2 linked regions of the Drosophila melanogaster genome follow. Changing the gene in region 1 together with any one later gene gives a genetic interaction. Each region holds a gene or a part of one and is shown in the gene's direction. Other genes may lie near its edges.

The links.
Region 2: of sina (region 1) and ed, changing one suppresses a phenotype caused by changing the other (phenotypic suppression), as found in Drosophila melanogaster (one study listed by BioGRID).

What each region holds. Positions count from the first base shown.
Region 1 is NT_037436.4:16,851,027-16,860,518, forward strand, and holds sina (seven in absentia), read left to right. Parts: upstream 1-2,724; 5' UTR 2,725-3,499; intron 3,500-4,892; exon of another isoform or gene 4,893-4,958; intron 4,959-5,270; 5' UTR 5,271-5,391; coding exon 5,392-6,336; 3' UTR 6,337-7,686; downstream 7,687-9,492. Other genes in the region: Zcchc7 (zinc finger CCHC-type containing 7), read left to right, coding at 1-1,190; Rh4 (rhodopsin 4), read right to left, coding at 1,666-2,213; sinah (sina homologue), read left to right, coding at 8,232-9,287. UniProt on the Drosophila melanogaster protein: E3 ubiquitin-protein ligase that is required for specification of R7 photoreceptor cell fate in the eye by mediating the ubiquitination and subsequent proteasomal degradation of Tramtrack (ttk).
Region 2 is NT_033779.5:4,028,792-4,035,680, forward strand, and holds the start of ed (echinoid), read left to right. Parts: upstream 1-2,585; 5' UTR 2,586-2,764; intron 2,765-3,631; 5' UTR 3,632-3,884; coding exon 3,885-3,978; intron 3,979-6,889.

The sequences.
Region 1 (9,492 bases):
AGTTGCAAGTGAAACTGCTTCGACGCAGTCAGGAAGTCAAGCGCAAGAGCATCGAGTTCCAGAGCCAGAAACCCCCCAAACGTATTGATGTGCTGATCCGCTTTCTGCGGGATGGAATCAACAGTCTAAACACCAATCTAGGAAACGCCAAGAGCCACTACGTGCGCATCAAGGAGCTAGAGGGGATGAACACCAAAAACGGTTTTAAGATGGCAGAAAAAAAGCGCCGCCAGCTTAACATGATCCTCGTCGGCCAGGCGGGACTCCTGAATGGCAAAACACATCTCGATCAGTTGCTAGTCTTATTGCGTCGCCTGATCGATGACTTCTCGCCAGATGAACACGCCACGCCACAGTTGCGCAATGAGATCGAGGAGCATTGGCGAATGATCTTCTCGTCATATCCGCATCCGAATTACGACTCTCTGCTAAACAGCTATGGACGTTTGGATCAAAAGAATCGCTTGCCCTCGTTGCACATAGATCCTGTGCTGTTGGGACTGCAACAAAAGAAAACGCAGAGTCAGCCGCAATCGCCTAGTAAGGGGCCACCATCGCCAACGCCTCTCCCACCAGTTCGGCAGGACATGGCTCCACCACCACCTCCTAAAATGTCAAAGAAGAAGCAACGTCAAGCCCTGGATCAGCAAACACAAAATCAACAACGGCAGCAGCAACAGCAACAGCAACGTCTGCAGCAGCAACATCAAAACCAACAGCAACGCTTGCAGCAGCAGCAAAAGCAACAGCAGCAAAGTCTACAACAGCAACACCAGCAACAACGTGTGCAACAGCAACGTATGCAACAACAGCAGCAGCATCAGCAGCAAGACAACAACCAATATCAGCAGAATCTACGACGTCCACAGATCGACCAGATGCCCTACAATAATCTCCAGCAACGATCACGATCCGATCTTCAGCTGCGCCATACTCTCAATCCGGAGTGTGACCGTCTGTTGAGTGAAATGGATCACAATCAACCTGGCAGCATCAACAAGGACGCCAACAAACCGTCCATGTTCTGGTCACGCGAATCGCTAAAGTACCTCGATGATCTTTTCAAGATGACCTCCAACACAGAGACCGTAGAGCGGCTGAAACGAGTGCTACAGCGATCGCAGCGTGGTCTGCTGTCGCACAACGATTACCGAGCGGTCATTCGACTGCATTCCCTGATGTGCAACTGAGGATTAGCCAGGGTCATGGAATTTATTTCCTGGTGGGTCACCTTCATTTTGTTTAACAAATGCCAACAGATTTCACAATGGGTATCTTAAAGATATTACCCAAAAACCGAATAAATACATAACTGACTATTTTGAAAAAAAAACTCGATTTTATGATTTTATTAGGAATGAAGAGGCTCCAAATAACTGTGTAAATGTGTTTAGGATTTGAGTTGAATTTGTTATTTAATTTTTAAGTGTAAGTGTAGAAATAGTAACAAAATAATGACATCAAAGAACCGAATTTCAAATAAAAAACGGGACTCATTTTCTACTTCGTTTGCAATAAGTTACTATTTATTTATTTCAAACTCAAGAATGTCACACTACAAATTATAAAATTAATGTTATACAGTTTCGTTGTCGGCATTTTATACTTTTTCCTTGGCTTTCATGTTACATGGTCAGTTGTCTTAGAGTAGAGTTGTCCTTGGTTCTATGCAGCGGTAGTCTGTTGCTGCTCCTGGGTGGTCGTGGACTGCGCCGAAGAGATCTCCCCAGACTTTTCGTTGACTCCCAGCCAGGGACAGCGCTTCTGCAGCTCCAAGCGGTATCTGGGGTGACTTATGGCATAGACGAATGGGTCTATGCACGCCACCAGTTTGCAGGTGCAGGCCGGGATCATCGTGGCTCCTGGTGTAAGCAGACTCTTATCCCCGAATGCCCCGATCAGCGACATTACGCCGTAGGGCGTCCACGACACGAAGAACAGGAAGCAGATGGTGATAGCCGCCTTCGCAATCCGTATCTCCGCCGTCTCCTTGCTCTTGTCCACATTGGAGCGCAGCGACTCCACGTTCATTTTCTTGGCCTGCTCCCGTAGGGCCTTTTCGTGGCTGAAGACATGGCCCACGATCTGCGAGTAGTAGTAAAGGATCATCAGCGTGGGACACACGAAGCTGAAAAAGAAGATGGTGCCCACAAACAACCGGGTGTCAAAGTTGTCCGAAAGATAGTCGAAGGAGCAGGACGTGAGGTAGCCCTCTGGAAATGCATAAAAGTGAAGAAGATTAATGGGATTTTTGGTATTAGGATATTTATTTACTTCATATTCGTAAAACGCAATTTTACTCTTTCGTAAATTTGTTTCTTCGAATTTCCCGATCCAAACTAAGTTCTTAAACATTCCCGCCAATGATGTGACACAAGGTCAAGGTATCACCAATCAATATTTTTATTTAATTTTTTGTATTGCCTATATTATTTGATTGGAAATACTATAAATCATAAAAAAGTATTTATTAATGAATTATTTTAAAAATTAGGCTTTAGTTGTCAATAAGAGTAACAGACTACATTATTAACTTTGATCCTTTAAAAATTATGCGCCTGATTCGATTTGTATTATTTCAAAACTGATGTTTTCCTGTTATTAAATTAATTTGACAAACGTGGCAAGGCTGTTAAGTAATCGATGACAGCAATTGATAGCTACCAGGAGGCACTGCGATGTTGCCGATTGCGTGTAATCGACTATCTGGAATCGAATAGACGACAATTGGGGTTCCATCTCTGCAACCGACGCGGACATTAGAAGAAACTCAGTATAGTAAAGTAAATTAATTAATTAACCAGCTAAAGGCAGACATCACGCCCAAAGTACATGGAGAATGCCGAAAAAGACTGAATTCCACACCGCGCAAGGGCAAGTGCAATAAACGCCGACTGCGACGATCAAAGAACGCAATATAGAAAAAGTGAGACACACGAAAAAAACCCATTTCGCTGCCTGTGTGTAAATGCAAATGGTTTATTTTTGTGCAGCAACAACAACAACACAACATCAGCAGCAGCAGCAACACAGAGGCAGAAAAGGCGAAAATAACTAGTAAAGCTAAATATGAATAAATGTGTATGTGTGCGGGTCGCGTTAAAGAAAATTAGATAAAAAGCCAAATGAAATTAGCTCACGCCTGAATTTCGAGTTTCGGTTCGGTGCAAGGTGAACGAAAAGGCGAAAAGCAATCAAAACAGTTTTTCCATTTTCCCAGTGTGCGTGTGCAGTAGCAAAACCACCTGCATTGGTTATATATATATATGCGGTTAAAAAAATAACAAATTGCAACGTAAAAAACGGAACTTGCACCTAGGATATATACACACACATGCTGGCTGTATGCGTGTGTGTGTGTGCATGGCCGTAAAGGCTGACTGACTGATAAAAAAGGAAACAAAAAAATAACAAGAAAATAAAATATACACATACACACACACACCAACGCAGCGGGGCACCAATACCTCGGCACAATTTCTTGGAGGCAGCCTGCCATGTAAGTTTACATATCAACGATTATGTATTTCGCAGTTGTTGTTGCTGTTTAAACAGCAGCCTAGTCGCACTTAATGGCGGCATAAATTAAAGAAAGATAGTCGCATTTCGCTTTGCTCCGCAACTTACGTTTTCTATTTTACCATTTTGCAACTCATGAAAGCAGAAGCTAAGTTAATTATATTCATGGCTATGACTTTTGTGGCAATTACCATTTTTACCCCGTATGAACGTTTCCAACGGTACGCAACGTAAACGAACTGTTAATTATGTGTGTGCGATCTGTGTCTGTGTTGTAAGTGTGTGAGTTTCCCTCCCCGCGGCTGCCATCCCCTACCGCCACCCACCCCCTACACATCCTCGTTGCATTTGTTACGTTACGCACTCTTCATTACGATATTACGTTTATGCGGGCGATGGTACGAATTTCATAATGGCAAATGTTCAAATAATTTTTCCAATATATAGGGTAAAGTATTAAACATTTGTATGTTCATGCGTTTCATGTGTTTTTGTTTTGGGTTAATAAGGAAACATATTATTTATTTTTTAGGTTTGAGTTTGTTTTCGAATATAAACAATATTACTGAACTCCTTTCACACAAAATTTTGATAGCAATCATATAGCAAATATATTCCCGTTAGGAAAGAGAACAAGTTTTGTTTGTACATCAAAGCTAAACAATTACGAAAACTTTATATTATTATATTGATATTTATCTTATAAACGCACCAAAGCACCCACAGCATATTGTTCACACTAATGTGTGCCCATTCTGTCCAAAGTGGACAAACCCGTGAAACCGAACCACACCCATTACAACCAGCACGACACCCACCATCGCACAATCCCGCCATGGGTCGACGTCCCTAATGGCCGTCCATCAGCGTCGGCTCCGTCAGCTCCGCCTGATAAGAGCCAACATATTTGCGCCGTTCCACACGTGCCGCCAAGAGGCTTTTGGGCTTGGGCTCGGAGTTGGAATCGGAATCGGGCCTTCATTTCGATCGGAGACGTGACGGCGACCTCGGGCTGTGTCTTTGCTTTTCGCAGACCAACTCCGGTTCGATACGTTCCGCTTTAAGTAATTGCTTAAATGCAATTCCCATACACGCAAATGCGTGTGTTTTCTTTTTTCGGTAATTACAACAATTGGGAATCCACGGCAAGGTTAAGGCCAGGAATGATAAATCGCTTTGGCTTTTCTATTGGGCGGCACGAAAAACGAACTACCTAGTAGTAGTGATTACGCGAAATAAGTTTTAAATTAATAAGGCTCAAATTAAATTATTACAAATGGATAGTAGTTTTGCTGGGCAACATTTTTTATAGCAATCGAGTAGATTTTGCTTACACAGTTTGCATTCATTTCATTTCTATTACTTCATGGAAAAATATTTTTGCCTATTACTCATGTCCCAGTGGGCACAATAGTTTGGAATGAACATTCAAATCAATAGTATGCTCCGAACTTAAGCCGCAAAATCGATAGAAAGCTCATAACATATGTTCAAATTTAAACCAGCATTTATGCAGTGTGTTATACTGTGATTTTTTTTGTTGGTTGATATATGTTATTTTTGGATTAACTAAGCCTAATCGAAACAAACTATTTTTGTTAAGATATCTGTATGGTTTTGTAGGTTATTGTTTTTTGGAGTTTCTTATCACTGAACGAACAAAATTACAAAAAAAAGAAAAAAAAATTATACATATGCTATGACTAAATTGACCGCATTACTCACTGACCTGTGATTGTATCTCATTTTAGACAGAAGCACAAGAAAGCCATTGCCGAAGCCACCGGGAGGGCGAAGAACCTGAACCTGGCGAGAATTGCAGGGACCCAGAAGAATTGTAGACACATTCGTGCCGTTGCGAGAACCCTTCCAATGTCCAATAAAATCAACCCGAAGCGCCGCGAACCGACAGCAGCAGCAGCAGGAGCCGGTGCCACGGGAGTGGCCACCAACACGAGCACCTCGACCGGATCCTCCAGTGCCGGCAACACGTCCTCGGCCAACACATCCTCGTCGTCCAGCTCCTCGCTGTCGTCCGCCGGTGGCGGTGATGCGGGCATGTCCGCCGACTTGACCTCGCTGTTTGAATGCCCCGTGTGCTTTGACTATGTGCTACCGCCGATCCTGCAGTGCTCCAGCGGGCACCTGGTGTGCGTGTCCTGTCGCTCCAAGCTCACCTGCTGCCCCACCTGCCGCGGTCCGCTGGCGAATATCCGCAACCTGGCGATGGAGAAGGTTGCCTCGAACGTCAAGTTCCCGTGCAAGCACTCCGGCTACGGATGCACCGCCTCGCTGGTTTACACGGAAAAGACAGAACACGAGGAGACGTGCGAGTGCCGGCCCTACCTGTGTCCGTGCCCGGGCGCCAGCTGTAAGTGGCAGGGCCCGCTTGACCTAGTCATGCAGCATCTGATGATGTCGCACAAGAGCATCACAACGCTGCAGGGCGAGGACATCGTGTTCCTGGCCACCGACATCAACCTGCCCGGCGCCGTCGATTGGGTAATGATGCAGTCCTGCTTCGGCCACCATTTTATGCTCGTGCTGGAGAAGCAGGAGAAGTACGACGGACACCAGCAGTTCTTTGCCATCGTTCAGCTGATCGGGTCGCGCAAGGAAGCGGAGAACTTTGTCTATCGCCTGGAGTTGAACGGAAACCGACGCCGGCTCACCTGGGAGGCAATGCCGCGTTCGATCCACGAGGGCGTCGCTTCCGCAATTCACAACTCGGACTGCCTGGTGTTCGACACGTCGATTGCGCAATTGTTCGCCGACAATGGCAACCTGGGCATTAACGTGACCATATCTCTGGTCTAAACGCACTGTCAATTCGTCGGGTTCTTTCATTTCTTGTGTTTACTATTCCGATACAAATACATATATAGTTTATAGCCCTCTGTTCGCATCAGGCGTCTAACTCGTGGACAGATTGTGAGTCTGGAGATTAAGAAGAAAGAGTTTTGCAGAGTTGTTTTATAAAAATGATTCTCTATTCTAAGAGCCACTTACATGCATATGTATATATATCTATGGAAATATCAGGCTGCTTCGATTATCACATTCGGCACGATATCGCAGTTTTCTTTGATTTTTAAGCTAAGACACTCACAATTTTCCAAAGCGAAATGGAAAGCGTATTAAAGCAATTGCTAAGTGATGTTCAGTGTTTATTGCACACGTTCGTTAAACCTGTAAAACCGCGTTTAAAATTCGTATTTTCATTTTTAGTTTGCACATGACTGTGTGTAAATCTCACTCGTTTGCAGAAAAATGCCAAATATTTTTGGTGAGATTTCGCAGATTTGTATAACACACTTTCCTGTCGAATGCGAAAATCGTGGCTGACCTGTATGTTTGTATGTTTAATCGGTTCGATTGGTACTCTAGTTCTAGGACATGATTTTTCAGTTACCGCACACACAATACTATATATTTCAAAGTTTCAGTGTTACCCGTTTTGTTAGTTCATGGGGTTCTGCTTTAGTTTAATTTAGTTCGTAAGGTCCACACACCTGGAGCAGAGCTGCCTGCGCGTGCCCACGTGCCCACCACCTACTACAGTGAACGCTAGGAACACACAGACCCACTCACCAAAACGAGGAGAACAGCAAGAAAGGCGAGGAGGTCACTCATCCACTCGAACATGTACTGCAAAGTCTAGTTTAGTTAATGTAAATTATTTTATACAATACTTGTAAATGGTAATAAGTAAAACGAACAGTTTAACGAAATTAACAAACCTAATAACCCACAAAGAAAAGTAATATTTGATAGCGATAATCTGTAATAACTCGAGAGTTGTTTGAAAGTTGCAGCCTAAACGAAACTGCGACCCGCAATTTTGTTCATGCCAAACCATCACAAAATAACAAAAACACACTAAAAAAAAAAGAAAACATTTTTTTTCGCAATGCTAAAAAGACAGTTGCCCCTTCCCATTTCCCCCCAAGTCCCCCCAAACATATAAAGCAATGTTAATGTTTAAATTTCTATCTAGTTAAGACGATCTCCCCGGTTTGGCTCATGTTTTGGTTTTGATTTCCATTCGGCCAACGTTTCCCAATCGAAAACGGAAGAAAAATTAATGATTTTAAGCATCTGCACCGTAATTAGCTTTTAATGCGCCGATTTACCGCGCCACTACCATATGAGATCACTCACACAGACACAAAACTACAAAACTGAAATAAACATGATTAGTAAAAGTAAACAATGCTCGTTAATTATTGAAATTAATCTGGGGGAAGCTGAATTACAAAGAAGAGCTACGCCACTTTATAAACTTGTCGATTTAAATCAGTTATCTGTTTAATTTGGATTATCTTTGAGATACTTGGGTTACTTCTAATGCGTTTTAAAACGTTGCAATAATAGATGGCACAAGTTTTTAGTGGTGCACCGCCGAAGCATCTTAAAGATTTAGCTGGATTGGTATCTTACTAGGATACTTAGGCCAATTTCAAAAATAAATTTTTAAGCTGATTTTAAAATGATTTAAAGCAAGTAGGCTCCGAAGTAAAAGTAGCTCATTATACTTTTAGCTTCGTTGTATTGTGGTACAGATTGTATTTTCGAATTCTTTTAAGCAAAATTTCAGTGTTCAGAAAAAGTAAAAAAAAAGTAAAACCATCGGCACTCTCATTCTTCAGAATCGTTTGGTTGTTAGGTCTTAGGATTAATAGCTTGCGCATTGATTGTTGGCTGAAGCACAGATGTCTGTTCGCAACTCACGCCCCCAGTTATCGTGGCCGGAGCGGGTAAGTCCGCAAAGGACTATTGACACTCCAACGGCATCCGGAGAAATGTTGACTCGTCGTCAATCGGCACCAGCGTTGGTCGTGCCGCCGGAGGAGACCACGCACGTTGTGGTGGTCAAGCGGCAATCCCCGGACGCAGCCGCTGCCGGAGAACTGGTGCCGTCTAGGCGGAAGGACTCGGTGGCTGTGCAGTCGGGAATTGTGGCCACTGGGCCATTGGACACAACACGCAGTGGTGCAAGAGACGATTTTCTAATGGCTTTGCTCGAGTGCCCGGTGTGCTTTGGCTACATAATGCCGCCAATTATGCAGTGCCCGCGTGGCCACCTCATCTGCTCCACCTGCCGCTCAAAGTTGACCATTTGCCCCGTCTGCCGGGTGTTCATGACCAACATCCGCAGCCTGGCAATGGAGAAGGTGGCCTCCAAGCTGATCTTTCCCTGCAAGCATTCGCATTTCGGCTGCAGAGCGCGGCTCTCTTACGCAGAGAAGACCAAGCACGAGGAGGATTGCGAATGCCGTCCGTACTTCTGCCCGTATCCGGATGACAAGTGCTCCTGGCAGGGACCGTTGAGGGACGTATACCAGCACCTGATGAGCTCCCACGAGAACGTGATCACCATGGAGGGCAACGACATCATCTTTTTGGCCACCAATGTGAATCTGGAGGGTGCCCTCGACTGGACAATGGTGCAGTCCTGCCATGGGCGGCACTTCCTCCTCTCGCTGGAGAAGATCAATTTGGGAGAGGACTGTCAGCAGTACTTCACCGCCTGTCGGATGATCGGCTCCATGAAGGATGCCGCCGAGTTCGTGTATAACATCTCCTTGGAGGCCTATAATCGCACTCTCCGCTGGCAATCCAAGCCAAGATCAATCCGTGAGAACTTCTCCTCGTTCACCAACGCCGACTTCCTGGTGCTCAATAAGCACACCGTCGAACTGTTCTCTGAGGACGGTAATCTTGCCCTGAACGTGGTCATTAGGAAGGTGGAGGAGCGTACCAACTAACCCCTAGCGTATCCGTATCTCTGCCCCCCCCTATAAATTGGACTTTCGTCGCTGATTGGTAGCTGTTAGCGTGTTAGATAAGTGCATATTAAATTAATACATGTGCTAAGCTAGTCCTATGAATTCCAATGAACTACTCAAAATCACTATGATTCAAAAGAATGGTGTTGATGTTTTAAGGATTTACATTAGGAAAAGAATAAAG
Region 2 (6,889 bases), on another chromosome or scaffold:
TTCTTTTTCGGACTTCTTGAACTTGACTGACAGTGCTGTTCCATCTCACTCACTCATAGTGCTTCGCTCTCTTTCTCTCTCAACTGGCGCAACTCTCTTACCCCTCGCCATCACTTCTTACCAATTTTTATTACATGGAGTGAGTGCAACAAGAAGTGGTAGGCAAAAGGAGAATAAGAAGGTAAAAAACAAGAAGTTGCTTAGGTAGAAGAATTGCTCCTTCTCTCTCTGTCTCTCTTTCTCATCTTCCACTTTATTTCGTCTTCTTCATGGATATTCTTATTGTACCTTTTTTTTGTGCTTCTTGTTGTTGTCTTGTTTATTACCTGCTTTTATTTTTTGTTTTCATCTTATGCGCCTACAACTTTACTTATTTTTTATTCTTATTTTTTATATATGTATTAACTTTAATTCACTTGTAATTCAAGCAGTCTTCAAAACCGCAGATCATGTTGTGGGTTCTTAATTTTGCCAGCCAGTTTCTTTTTGAAATTCAACTCCTTCTTCTTAATCTTCATCGTGATTCTGAAAATGTTTTTTTTTTTCAAATTAAGAGTTGAGTTTCATATAGACTTCCTCATCTAAGCCTCTCTTTTCAGAAGAAGTCGTAGATATCAAGTAATGAAAATTGAAATCGATTTTAGGGAGAAGAGTTGTATTTGTAATCTATAAAGCTACGGAAGTAGAAAAATGTTTATCCGTGACTGTCCCTATGGTTAATACATATTTTAACCCAAATTTATGGCGATTAATATGCAAGGAAAGTAATGCTAAGGAAATTACCAGGATCTACGAGTAAACAGCAACATTAAGCAAGGGATAGGGATAATTAAGCTGGATTTTCGTGTGCTCCTAGCGAGGGAAGGAAGAAAAAAATGGGGGGGGGGGAGTGGTTGTGTTGTCTAGTCGTCTTTTCACCTGAGGGAAATGGGGGCGGGGCCAGCCCGCCAACCCAAAGGTCATTTGTATGCGTCTTTAGTAGCGGGACATGTCCGGCGTTTTATGATGAGGAGAAATCACCTTGGGGCCCAAATCAAAAATTCAATAAACATTGAACAGCGACGACAGAACAGACAGAACGAGCAGAAAATCTGTTTTAAAATTATTTACCATTCTTGGGCTGCTTGTAAGTCCTATGCATTCATTATGCAAAGCGCGTGGCATGACTGCTAAATAAAAATATTGAATATGCAGAGCCACTTCAGCTGCTCAGAAACAAAGCGGAAAAAATCAATCATTCGCGGTATTTCTCAAAAGAAAAAAAGAAGAAAAAACCCTACATAATACCAAGACTTAGTGCTACTGTTTGGGTAAATTATAACAATTGCGTACTGATTTTAGTGGATAATCTAAACACTATCTATACTATACTATATACGGTATAATTGTTATTTGAAAGTACAAACAATTTTAAGTTTTTTTTTGTAACCTGGCTCGTGGGTGTGGTCATAAAAAAGTCTAAGAAAGGTTTAAGCTGCTGAGTGTCGTAGCAGTGAGGTTTTCGTCTCGAATATAACGTGTTTTTTAGAAAACGGGTTTACTTGAGGTGTGCAAGAGGAAGGAGGTCTCTTCACAAACTCTTAAGATAACTGGTTTAATGTAGATCGCTACAGGGGGTGCGAAAGAGATGGACATAGCTATGTGCGAACTTAACGAAGTTTACTTGCCTTCAAGCTCGAACTTGTTGCATGTACACTATCGCCGCACCTTTCGCACCACTCTTATACCCGTCACTCGTACAGTTAAAGGGTATACTTAATTCGTTGAAAAGTATGTAACAGGCAGAAGGAAGCGTTTCCAACTTTATAAAGTATATATATTCAGGATCAGGAACAATAGCCGAATCGATTTAGCAACACACTTTCTAACACTTTCGCATTTCGCATTCGCATTTTCACTAGCTGAGTAACGGGTATCTGATAGTCGAGAAACTCGACTATACCATTCCCTCTGGTTTAAAACCAACTTGTTGCTGGCTTTTCTTATTTATATTTTTCTTGACTAATTTCCCGACTGGTTTTTCTTGTTGGCCAAAGAAACGAGTTTTCTTGGAAAAAGGCACTCAAAACCTCTAGGAAAATGCAACATGTTGCTAAAGGCAAATTGAATTTCCATACAAAATTGCTTCTATTCGTTGCTGCCTTAGGCTCATTTTCACCATTTGGGTCCGTTATCGACGAAAAAAATATAAAATATATAAATACGCATACAATGTTTTTAAAACCAAATGAAACAATTTTTTTTCCAAAATGGGTTTACTTCTCCTTAAAAGTTACATATAAAAGAAACTACATGATGATTTAAACTTAAAAACAATTTTAAAATTATTTCAAATTTATTGGTTCTTTTGTTGAAAACATTACATGCCTAAAATATAAAGGCAACATTTATTATTTGTTTTCTGAATATAATCAAACTTAAGAGAAATTCGCTATTATGTTCTCTTAATAAAAGTCGAGTCAAACATGTTAGCTTAACTTAACAGCGCTGTTAACGGCTCTCATCAAACGCGTTCGACTCGAACTTGTGCGGACTGTGTTGTGGAACTTGAATTTTGCGGCTGCGGCTCAAATTTTCGTTTCCCTTTCTCTGTGTGTTTTCCCATTTCGGATCGAACGCTTCGTGGAAAAGTGAGCGCGCGTTGTCTGAATTTCCCGCCGCGTTTTTCGTCGATTTCCGCGTGTGTGCGAACAACAACTCAGCAGCAGCAACAACAACAGTCCCAATTTATTGGGTAAAACGCAGAAAATATACTAAATTTGAGGTATAAAATTGAAATTTATACAAAATTACTGTGCACAGTGTATGTGTGTGTGTGGTTTCAGTGGCAGTGGAAAGACCAAAAGCAACGGTATACAAAATCAAAACAATGCAAGCAAGCAACAATAAATACAAAATAATAGATTTATTTCGAATAAACAACAGTTAAAACTTTAAGAAAAGGAAACGAAGCTAAGATAAATAAGAAAAAAACGCAGCATCTGCGTCATCTCTATCTCGCTCCCTCCCTCCCGTTTTATCCACGATCTCTGACGATCGCTCTGTCCCCCTCGCACTCGCACATCTTTACCGATTTACCTGGGAAACAGGTTTAGCGTCCATTTCGTGTGTATGTGTATGCGTGCGTGTGATTGTGTGTATAACGTGTATTGGTGTGTTTCTTGGAAACCTTTTAAGTGATTTTCTTACCTGCTCAAAAGTACAACAAAAGCAATAAAAACATGTTGCAACTCTAAAGCAACAACAAGCACGAAAAAGTGTGAAGCATAAATGCAGTTATAACTGTGAAAAAGGAGAGGTAGATAAAGGCGAAGCAAAGATATGGATAAATGAGATGAAAAAGAAAACTTAAACAAAGTAAAAAAAACCTGTTAAATTTTTTTGATATATTAATAATAAAAAATATATTATTAATTATTGCAAATTTATGAAAAAAAAAAAACAATGGATGGATACAACTTAAAAGAATTAGTGATAATACAACAACTGCCATAAGGACTTGGATTATAAACATAAACTGCACTTGAATAACTAATAAAAAACAAGAATGCCCGTGGAACCACATACAACATCTTAACCCCACAAAGCCGAGCAATTTCTAATCAACAACACCATTCTTAACCCTTTTCAGTTGTTCTTCTTCGTTTTCGGCTATCCGTTCAAAGTTTCGTGTGCAATAAATAAAAAATACTATATCGTCGAAAGCATAAAAACATTAACCAACGCAATGGAGCGTTGCAACAACACCACTAACTGCGAATTGGAATAAGAAGTCCAGCAAAAGTAGCAAAAATTGTTTTTGCAAAGGGAATTGAGAGTAGCACCCAAAGATAAGCAAAAACAGTAGAAACATATACAAAATATATTCAAAATATAGTCACAAAATGAGGCGAAAAACTACCACGAAAGGGACGGCAATAGTCAATAGCAGGAGTGCGAGGAGAGCAGCAACGACTATATGCAACTTTTTTCTCATCGGTAAGTTTACTTTGTTCGTTTGATAAGAAGCTTTTTGTTTGCAATGGAGTTATATATGTATATAATTGCTAAGAAGATTACCCAGCTTTTCTCGAGCATTATTCCAGAACTTAAATATCTATAGGGGGTATCACTTGAGTTCATTTGTTTATCGGTGGTAAGATTGATAGCTCCCGATAAATCCCAATCTATTCGCTAGCTCACTCTTTGTGTTCGGCACACGCATATCACAAATCAATTAAAAGTTTCGGTTCCGCCCTTGACATACCCTGCTTATGACAGCTCCCCTTTTTCCGCCACTTTCCTCCGGCATTTTCCCCCTGTTTTTTCAAGTCGCCTTTGCTGTTGTCACCTTGCGACGTCACTTTAGTTTTTTGTTGATCTAGGTTGTTGCAGCTTGACGTCAGCGTAAAGTTTTTTATCTGCTACCCAAGCCTCCCCAATTTTCCACGCAATTTTCCGCAGCCCACCCCTTTGTTGGCTCCTGTCAATTGGCAGCATTTACTAGGAAGATATTGAATCGGTAGCTAAAGTAAAGTCGATATTCCATGAAAAAAACTGATTAACCATGTATTTACTATGTCTATATCCACACTTGACAGTCTGAAAGATATAAGTATCGTCTTAATTAAAAATTCCAGCATAATTTTCCACTTTCCAGATGCTCCGCATCAGTTAGGAAATGCTGTTATTATGCAAGAATATTTACTGTGTCACAAATAAAGGGCGCAAAACTGGGGGAGAGGACACAGTGGTATAAGTATAGGAAAAACTTTAGTTTGGCACGCTTCGGCAAAGTTTTTCCCTTCCGCACACATAATGCTTTGCTTACAAAATGCTTTTTAATACTTAAAGAACCCCTGGAAAAGTCGGCAAAGGGGGGGGGCTGGGGCTAAATTTAAATGTGAATTATATCCACTCAATCGGGCAAATCGGTCAAGGGAAGTCGAAAAGGGGAGCAGCCAGTTCCTTTTTATTAATTTGTCTGGCGATTAGTTGGGGGCTAGTCCCTCTGAGTTTTTAACCCCCTCAAAAGATATATTGCACCATTAACTTTATGGCGCTCTCCGCGTTTTCAGCTCGTGTTTTGTGTGTGTGCAATCAGTTAATAAACAAAACGTGTTGATTTGACATCTTAATTGGGCCTTTGACACGCGTTTTCCAACGCTTTTATACGAACTACTCGTAAAAGTCGTCTTTGAAGCTTTAACTGTCAACGCCTCCGACCGAAAAAAAAAACGAGAAATCAATGAACTCTCTATGGAGGCTTTTTAGGCCTCAAGCTTCTGGGGAATTGCTCCACTCGGGGGCATTATTAGATTTGATGACAGTGGCCAAGAGGGAATTGACATTTAAAACAGGCACGCGGATCGGAGGGATCAGACATTAAAAACGCATTAAAAGATTAGCAACGAGGAATGGTGGAAAACTAAAGACCTTTGGCGGCTTAGGATAATAATTACTTGGTAATGTGCAAATGGGCTGAACTAATAACCTTAGCGGTTTCGTGCTTATATATGTAATGTATAAATAGTTTAAAAATATTTAAATATTTATTTAAATAAACCAACATTTTCCAAAACGCCCCTTCCATGATTTATTTTTAGCCATGTCTTGTGTCTTTTTCCCACACCATCTACTTGATTGTCAGCACATTTATCCTGTTGATCCTTGAAGTGCATTCCAATTTGGTTGAGTTTTCCTTGGAAAATCCCCGGTGCCGTTGTGTGTACAGTAAAATGCTCAAGGAGCAGCACAGGATATTGCTTAAGAAGTGCTCGAAAGGCAGTTTGCAACAATTTGTGTGCGTCTCCTTTGGTTTTTATGTTTATTTCGTCTGCCTTTGGTTTTTATTTTCGTTTGTCTACCTGCTAACTGTCGCCCTTTTTCCTGTATTTCCATGCCGCTTTCCCTTTGAGTTTTCCACATTCATTTCATTTCCTGGCTTTTCCAAATGCCTGCGCTCCTAAAACGTTACCTTACCCCGCCATTTTCCCACTTTTCCCTCCGTGTTTTTAGCGCGTGAATTATGATTGTGGCTTAGTTTTTCTCACTTTTCCGGAGTTGTTATTGTCCCTGTTTTTTTTTTTTTTTTGTTTTTTGGTCCCCTTCATATCATTTTCCACACATACACACACACACACTCGCACACGCTTGCTGCAAAAATATCTGCAACTGCTGCAACTTTGAAATTAAAATAAATTAAACAAATATTTTGTTTGTTTCAAACATTTTTTACGTGCAAAATTCAGCGACGTGTGCGGAAATGGGTTGCCCCCCCCCCCCAAAAAAAAAGAGCAAAAGAAAGAGAAGGGACCACTGGTGCAGAAAGAGACAGGTGGAGCAGAGGCTGGCAACAGATGCGGTGGAAATGAGAAACGCTTTTCCTGCAGAGGAAAATTTATCTATATGCACAATTTGCATTTGCAAAATCAAAGCTGGATTCCACAGGAAAGTGGAAAAGAGGAGATGGCCAGAGGCATTGGCTTCAAAGGGGATTTTGAGTTTAGATGCAATAAATTGGTTTAGCCAGCTGAAAACTTTGTTGTCCGTTGTGGCAATATTGATACTTAGAGGGTTGGGTTTTAGTAAACAAAAGAAATGACAAACTAAAGTTGAAATGTGTTTTGGGCATTCCAGCAAATTATGGCAGTTATTTTGTGCACAAAGAGGCAATTTGTAAAGGCATTAAATCAATATTACGGTATTGCTATAAAATAAGGCAGGAATTTGAAACAAGTTGTATAGCTTTAGAACTAATACTGTGTATTCCAAGTTTGGAATTTAAAAAGTGGCCAACATTTAGTTTATGTTTCCCCGAATTTCAATCTAACCCCATGGAATCGGAAACACAGCTTTTTTGCCTCTCTGCAAATCACCCAAAGTTTTATTTTGGCAAAACTAAAAATAA